Linked DNA regions of Drosophila melanogaster. The protein of the gene in region 2 interacts with the protein of the main gene of each other region in a pairwise test. Each region holds a gene or a part of one and is shown on either strand. Other genes may lie near its edges. The genes, in order: CG11349 and CG4701.

What was found.
Region 1: the proteins of CG4701 (region 2) and CG11349 interact in a two-hybrid assay, tested with the Drosophila melanogaster proteins (one large-scale study listed by BioGRID).

The regions. Positions count from the first base shown.
Region 1 is NT_037436.4:4,470,964-4,475,688, forward strand, and holds CG11349 (uncharacterized protein), read left to right. Parts: upstream 1-2,104; 5' UTR 2,105-2,113; coding exon 2,114-2,116; intron 2,117-2,174; coding exon 2,175-4,061; 3' UTR 4,062-4,132; downstream 4,133-4,725. Other genes in the region: CG32248 (uncharacterized protein), read left to right, coding at 802-804, 876-1,421.
Region 2 is NT_033779.5:14,764,167-14,768,022, forward strand, and holds CG4701 (uncharacterized protein), read left to right. Parts: upstream 1-1,741; 5' UTR 1,742-1,840; coding exon 1,841-2,995; 3' UTR 2,996-3,059; downstream 3,060-3,856.

The DNA.
Region 1 (4,725 bases), on a different chromosome or scaffold from region 2:
ATATTCTCGAATTAGCGCAAAAGAGACAATAAAGAAAGCTCAGAAAGATAAACAATAACATTGTTTAGACTCGAGACCATTGGAGGGCGTCAATACAGATCAGATAACGTGATTATGCAAAAAAGGGCACCATATGCCATTAACCCCAAGAGGAAATGTTTAAGATACCTAATACCTTGGGAGTCGCGATCTTGAGGCTTCTCTGAACAATTAATCAATCAGTCCATCAATCGAGTTAGCGGAACATTAAGTCATTAGCCTGAGCAATTTGTTTGCTTTAAGTGGATAAGGTATACGGCTGACTAGATAGTTTATGACCGGCTAATTGCTATACTTCTTGTTCTGGATCGATTTAAAAATAGCTCTCTGCTACTGTTTCTATTAACCCAATATCGGGTTTAGTCTTAGCAAAAGCTTGGGTGAATTAAAAAAGCTCTTCTTCAAGACGAAACCAAACTATCAGGTTTGCGATAAAATTGTTTTGGCAAAAAAATTAAGCTGTGATACGTGTATTCTTATGAATATTTATATTTAATATGACAGCAAAAAAATGAGAGTTTTAAATCCAAACTCCATGGCGTACCTAACTGATAAAAACAAGCCCCATATGGCGTCGTGGTCGAGGTATCTGTTTGCCCAATTAAACAAATTTTTCGACGCGAAGAAAAACGTTTCGTTGATTTATGATACTCAGCACTTCCGTTTGGATCCGCAGATTCTCCGACTTGTATAAAAGTACAGGAGTCGCCGGTCTAAGATATTATTCGGTTCGTTGCTCCTAAAGCAAACAGATCATCTAAAATGGTAAGGATCTCCCATCTGTATTGCGGATTATATTAGTTGGCATATTATTCTATTTCGATTTTTCCCTGTAGAAATTCTTTATCTTGACCTTGGCCGTGGTTGGCTGTGTGGCCGCCGAATCTGGCTACAACTACAATGCTCCCCGCCAGGTAGCCGCCTCTGCCCCGGCTCCTGTTTTCCAGCAAGCTGCCTCTGCTCCGGCTCCAGTGAGGACCTACGTGCCCCCAGCTCCAGCTGCCTCTGCCCCAGTGCAGTCGTTTGCCCCTGCCCCAGCTCCAGTAGCTGCTCCTGCTCCCGTTTTCCAGCAGGCCGCCTCTGCACCCGCACCAGCCCGCACATACGTGCCTCCCGCTCCCCATGTCCACCACCATGCCGCCGCCTCAGCTCCAGCTCCCGTTCAGTCCTTTGCTCCTGCTCCAGCTCCCGCCCCCGCCCCCGTGCAGTCCTTCGCCTCTGCTCCAGCTCCTGCTTTCGAGTCCTCCGGACCGGTGTTCGAGGCCGCAGCTTCCGCCCCCTCTGCCGCCCGCTCCGGATACGATTATAGCCAGCCCGCCGCCAGCCAGCAGGGATACAAGTACAAGACCGTCCGTCGCCGTGTGTTCAAGCACCGCGCTTAAACGATGATGATGATACGATAAAATGCGACAATAAAAAACTCGAATATTAAATTTATAAAAACATAGTTTTATTTGAGCATTAAAACACTAATAAAGATAATATGATAATTTGATAATTAAACAAGAATGATATGGTGTATAGTTTTAGCAAAAGAAGCGCGCAAAAAAAAAAACTATAAAACCTAAAACAACATTTCAAAAGTGCTAAAATTCTTGCTAGAAAAGAAAAAAAAAATCGCAAAATTAAATTTTATTAATAATTGTTAGTTAGTACTGGAGTGCAGTTTTTCTTATCCATAACTAACAATCAGTTGTTAATGATAAATTAGTTTGAAGCTTCAATTGTATTACTAGGCCAAATTCACACCTGGAAACGAAGTTCAAAGAACCCATGCGTTATCGCATAAGTGTGCAGCGCACTTGGGCCAATAAATTTAAACGCTTTGATCTGACAAATTTACGGGACACTTTCGTTGTGCTTCAGAATATTCAATAGAATTTAAATTGGCGGCTATTCAATAAGAACAAATGGGTCACATAAAGCGCGGAATCGATTTCTCACGCTCGGCAACAGGTTTCGCTTTCAACTGTGGTCTTTTTTGGGGGCTCGATGTGGGGATGCAACAAAAAAGATCCCGAAGAGAGTATATAAGTTGCATCTACAGCTGCTTACAGTCACTGGCACTTTAGCAATGGTAACGGATCAACGATAGGTTCTAGGTTCCGCATTTCACCAATCCATTTTTATTTTAGAATGTCCTCGTGATCCTGGTTCTATGCCTTATGGCAATCGCATGTCTGGCGGACGTTTCCCATGTGAAACACCACAAGCACCAGCGGCATCATCACTCCAGGGATCACGAAGATGACGATGAGGAGTCCCATTACCTACCTCCCCACGAGGAAAAGGAGGTGGAGCAACCTTTTTACAAGAAGGAGAAGCACACCAGTGAAAAGGTGGTTTACCACAAGGTAGAGGAGCACGAGGAGCCCAAATACTACAAGGAGCATCAACATGAAGAGCCCAAAAAGCAGCGAGTGGATCACTACCATCACTATGACAAGAAGCCAGAAGTAAAGACCCAGCACATTCACTACAAGCATAGCAAGCCCCATGTCCGTACGGATTACAATCAGGACTTGTTCACCCCAGCTGCTACCCAAGTGGTTTATCGCCGCCGTCGTCCTAGTCGAATTCTATACGCCAGTGCCCCCAACTCGGTGTTCCACACCCACACGCAGATCAACGTGCAGTCCCAGGATTCGGAATTGAATTCCCTTACTCGCCCAGATCGTGCAGCAGGAGCACAGGATCCTGCTGGGGCTCAAGCACCGACTGGAGCCCAGGCACCAGGATTTCGACCCAACTGCCAGTTTGTTGGACCTGGAAACGTACCACCTGGCTGTGGACCCTCTGATCCCATAGGTGCTCAGCTACCAGCCAGTGCTTTGGCTCCCACTGGTGCTAATCTTCCGGCCAATCAACCTGTTGCCGGCGGACAATTGGCTGTTCTGGGTAACGGTCAGCGACCTCCACGTCCAGGTGGCTATGGAGGTGGATATGGCAACCGACTCAACTTTTTTGTTGATCCTTCGCTGGGCGCTCAGCTGGGAGCCATAGGTAATGCTGGAGCTGGAAATCAACAGGCTGCCGGAGGAGGTCAGCTTGCGGGAGGAGCTCAACTTGGAGGGAGCCAAGGATTCGACCCTTCCTTTGGTGCCCAAGCAGCTGCCGGAGGACCATTTAACACTGGTTTTGGAGCTGGTCAAAGACCTCAAAGACCTGCGCAAAACCAATATGATCCCAACCTTCAGCTAGGTGGCCCTTTTGACCCCTCCGTGGGTGCTCAATTGGGCGCAGGTCAGGGTGTTTCTAACCAAAGACCAAGTGGACAGGGAGCATTTGATCCTTCTACAGGTGCTCAATTGGGCGCAGGTGAGGGTGTTTCTAACCAAAGACCAAGTGGACAGGGAGCATTTGATCCTTCTACGGGTGCTCAATTGGGTGCAGGTCAGGGCTTTAACCAGAGACCAAGTGCACAGGGAGCATTTGATCCTTCGACAGGTGCCCAACTTGGAGCTGGACAAGGCGTGCCTAACCAGCGACCCAATGCAGCTGGACCAGGAGCTTTTGATCCCAATCAGCGACAGTCCGACCCCTCCATTGGAGCCCAATTGGCAGCGGGACAAGTACCACGCCTCAACAACCGACGACAGCGCAATCGATCCAACTACCAGGGTCTCAATGTGCTGAATGGAAACGTTTTCGGACAACCCCATCTCCAGGGACCCACAAATGCGCTGGGAAATCAACAGGACACCAACATCATAGACGGCAACTTCTACAGCGATCCTCATCATGGACACCAGCGGGCTTTGGTATCGGTTAATCCTAATCAGCGTTCAGTCCTTATACCCGATGACGATGATGCGGACGATGATGGGCAGCTAGGATTTCTGGGCTTTGCGGCTAGTAACAAGCAGTCCTCTTATGTGGTTGCTCCCAAACAACTGCGATCTCATAGGCGCAGTTCAAAGCGAAACAATGTGGATCTTAAAACATCTGCTTCGGAGTACGACACTGACTATCGTGAGGATGGCTATCACTACCAGAAGCCCAAACAGTCATTCGAGTTTTAAGTATTTTAAAACAGAACATATTATAACATAAATTAAATCATACTTATCAGCATTTGCTACAAGAGCATACCAAACAAACCTTGATTACTTATTTAAAGCATACTTTCAGGCGAAAACTATGGCGGCTACTTCCGTTTCCGCTCAAGGTAGCTTTAAAGTTTGTTGAGAAATCGACACGGGTTTTCAAGCTGAGCTTTATAAATTGAGCTTTTGATTAAGCTTTACACCAGACTACAAATATCTATATTGCACATAAAAATATCCAGATATTTACCAACTATGTATATTTGATTTTTTTGTTTGCCTTTAAATTACATACATTAACATAAATATACACGTGCAAATAGATTAGGGCATTTATGTTCTGGCCATATCTGCGATTGCCTTTGATGGAAAAGGTGTATATATTGTCCATTAGGGTACGCGGAAAGGAAACTAGTTCAGAGCTATATAGAAATAGAGGCACAAAGACATTTTTTTTATAGTGAGAGAGGCAAAATGAATTGTCGACATAAATTTATGCAATCATTTAGATTCGATTCTCATGCAAATCCAATCAACTGAAATCAAAATAGAAATAAAACAAAATCTATTGTTTCACCAGGCAGCATATCTTGGCCAGTCGACTGCATAGAGGTGAGCTGCCCAAAACACATTCATTGGA
Region 2 (3,856 bases):
TTTGACGAATGCTCCACAACTTTCCAAGTGAAAGCTCCAGCTTTTGCAACAATATAGGCACAGTAATAACAACAAAATATATAATTAAATTTTTCGTGTGCTCAGCAGAACGAACGAGCGGACTTGGAATCTGACAAAGAGGACAAAATAAGGGGAAAGGACTACGAATATAGTGGGTGGTATCCAGCGAAAGGTAGTGAGCGAGCAGGAGTTGGTGAAATCATGAAATATTGCATAGCTGAAGTGATTTTTATGAACTCTTCAAAAGTAGCTCAGTGAAAGGCGAATAGACAGTGGAAGAACTTGGGCTGTTTGTTCAACATAAAGGTTCCCGGCACGCTAACGAGCTTAAAGATGTTGCACAAAGTGCGCACTGAAATTGCATCCATAATGGCGCCCAACGGAGGCGGTATGATATAATGCTCAGTAAGGGCTCCCTTCGCCATTTTCCATTTCGGGATAAAGGCGATTTTCATCGAAAGCTGCGCCCAAGTCTGGAAAACTCTGTTAAGTGGGCAAAGGTCAAGAGCAGATCAGTTCAGTTAGGGCTCCACACAAATAAGCCAATTTTCTATTTAAGATAGATCTTACTCCGTAAGGTACTCTTTCAAATAGTAATTTAATTGGATTTGTTTAGAGAAATTTTTAAACGTGCCTTAATTCATTCAATTCAATTCATTTTATTTATCAATCTAACTAAAGTCAAATGGATTATGGAAAGGTTAAGTTTTACATGGAGTAAGCGCTCGTGGGATCCTCTTTGGTTTCCGTTAACTTACAACATTTTCTGGCTTAGATTGGATTTAATTTTTGATCGGTACAAACAGACGTGAAAATGTTGGATTAAAATGCTAACAAGACTTTTGCGAAATACCAATTTTTGGATGGCAGACAGAGACACCTGAGCCAGGAATATGAAAACTATTGGGCAAAAACGGTGGATAATAGGGCTCTGTTCGTAGTAGTGGAAACTTCGTCCAGACATTGTGTTGAGTAATTCTTTTGTAATGCGGAAGGAAGCCCAAAACAACACAGTGCACAGCGATTTCCGTGAAGAGGGAAAGGGCAGCGGAAATAACTTCAAGACAAAGCACAGAACTGACCTGCGTTCGGTGGGCTGGGAAAATTGGGTGGTAAAGGGGTTCGCAGATAAATTGCTGCAGTGTTTAGTTAATACTTCTGACCGTCTTATGGCCTGGCCTTTCGTCCTTGGCTGCTGCTTCCAATTCAGCAGGATACCGAACAGCGATGGATTCTCGCAGCTAGATACAAGGAACAAGGAACAGCAGCTGGCTCGACAAGTTTATCTTTTGTTACTGAGACAAATACTTTGTTGAGAGATACTAAACTAGAAAACATTCTCCTCCGCCTTCCATTCAGGCTTTTTCAGTTTTATTTGCCGGCATTTCTTGCAGGTTAGCGTCAAAATCCTGCAGGAGGAACAGAGGCCAGAACAGAGCCCGGAAAACTTAAACAGAAATTAAAACGAATCTGGACAATGCACAGTGGGTAAAAATGGCTTATTACTCCTTATTGTATGCAGTAAGTAACTTTGGTTTAATGTAATTTAGCAGAACTACTATTCATATTTCCACGTTAATCTTAACAAATCTTTAAAAAGCAACTTTTGTTTTTATTTTTTTTTTGTCTCTGGGAACTAAGAAAACTTTTTTAAGAATATTTTTCTACAACACTTGACAATCCTATATTATATTTCTAGTAAATCAGTGTTGTGCATCGCATAGCAGTAGGCAGTTAGTAATATACCGATGTGTAATTTTTAAGTGACATTTATTTATTATTCGATACTAGATTGTCGATACAAATTGGTGTGTGAAAAATGGACTCGCAGGAGGGTACTCAGTGCCAGATCCTGGCCATCGTCATTCGGGTGTGTGTGTTTAGCGCGTTAACGTACTACACTGCCAAATGGATGATCAATGCGCTGGATCCCAATAATAAGATCCGGGGTAAGGCGAAATATGTTGCGGAAGAGCAGCTGCGCAAGCTGAACTCCTCGGCGATTGGCGCGGCAAAGAAGTTTCGAGCCCGTGACTTTAATGAGCACGAGATGATGATTGCTTCGCATCTGGTGACGCCTGAGGACATTGATATCAGTTGGTCGGATATTGCCGGACTGGATGGGACTATTCAGGAGCTTAGGGAGACGGTGGTTCTCCCAGTGCGTCATCGTAAGCTCTTTAGCCGATCGAAACTGTGGCGAGCGCCCAAGGGAGTCCTGCTGCATGGACCGCCTGGTTGTGGCAAGACCCTGATCGCCAAGGCCATTGCCAAGGATGCTGGGATGCGATTCATCAATCTGGACGTGGGTGTGCTAACGGACAAGTGGTACGGCGAAAGCCAGAAGCTGGCCACAGCCGTTTTCACGCTGGCCAAAAAACTTCAGCCCTGCATCATCTTCATAGACGAAATTGAATCTTTTCTCAGGATGCGCGGTAGCAATGATCACGAGGCAACCGCCATGATTAAGACTCAGTTTATGTTGCAGTGGGATGGGTTAATGAGCAATACCAACATTTGTGTCCTCGTTTTGGGGGCCACAAACCGGCCGCAAGACCTCGATAAAGCCATCCTGCGCCGTATGCCCGCACAATTTCACATTGGAGTGCCGCGAGACTGCCAGCGACGCGAAATCCTTCAGTTGATCCTCCAGACAGAGCAACTGAGTCCTTCGGTTAATCTGAAGGAGCTGGCCCGACTGACGATTGGATTTTCAGGATCCGATTTGCGGGAATTGTGTCGCCACGCATCCATGTACCGTATGCGCCAGTTTATGCGCGAAAAGCTGAACACCGGCGAGGAAATTGGAAAAGACAAGATTGAATGGGACTTCGAGGTAAAGGATCAGGCCTTGCAGGAGTGGGAGCACTTGGAAATTCAAATGGAAGACCTTCTCAAGTCGCTGTCCGTCATGAAGGCGTCGAAACATCAGGCGCAGGGCACTTTTCTCGAAAAGGATCTGGAGTTGGACTGAGGGTGCCGTTTTGGGTATTGATGAGCATAAAATCGGCAATAAAAGCTTCGTTATGTGCTTCATCAATTTTGCAGTTTTCTCTTGTCTTATTTGGAAGATTTCTTTGTATAAGCCAAATTTTATATTAATTAATATTTTAAACTCTAAAGCATCAAGCCTCCTTTAAAAAAGTGTCCTTGTCTTCCTCCCACTTTCACTTACCGCTGGTCTCTCTCAGCGAATTGGTATGTTCAATAACAAATTCCATTGCACAGCCAAGCTCATTTTTTCTCAGTGCTTCGCCATTATCTTCCGGCTAGTTCTATTTTACGAGACTACGCTCTTTATACCTCACTTTGGCTCATCCTGCCCAGTTACCAACACCCCAAACTGTCAGCCCGACCTATATTTTTCACATTTCATGGCATGCATGAAGAGTTTTTGCAGCCATGAAGAGCGGCGAGTTATCTGAAAAAAGGTCTGCAACCAGGAACGGCTGCGAAAGAACAGCACCAGCACAGTGGCACAACAAAAACTCAAAATAACAACAGCTACGACAGCAACAACAAAAAATCTTTTATGTAAAATTGAATATTCATAAGTTGATTCACAGAAGCGGCAGAAGCCTAACTACGGACCTCAGCCTCCGCCTCGTTTGCTTCTGAATTACTCTTGCGAAGAGTGTTTTTAATTTTATCATGCATATGCAATTCAGTAGTAAAGAACTTAATTAATAAAGTCGGTATATGGAAAATGTTCTTTGAAAACGAAATAGGAGTGTTTACTTATATTTAACATTTTATTAGCCAGTCACTTCACTTGATTGCATTAAAAAATGAACTAAATACATGATTTGTTATATTTTAGTTAGTTTTTATATTT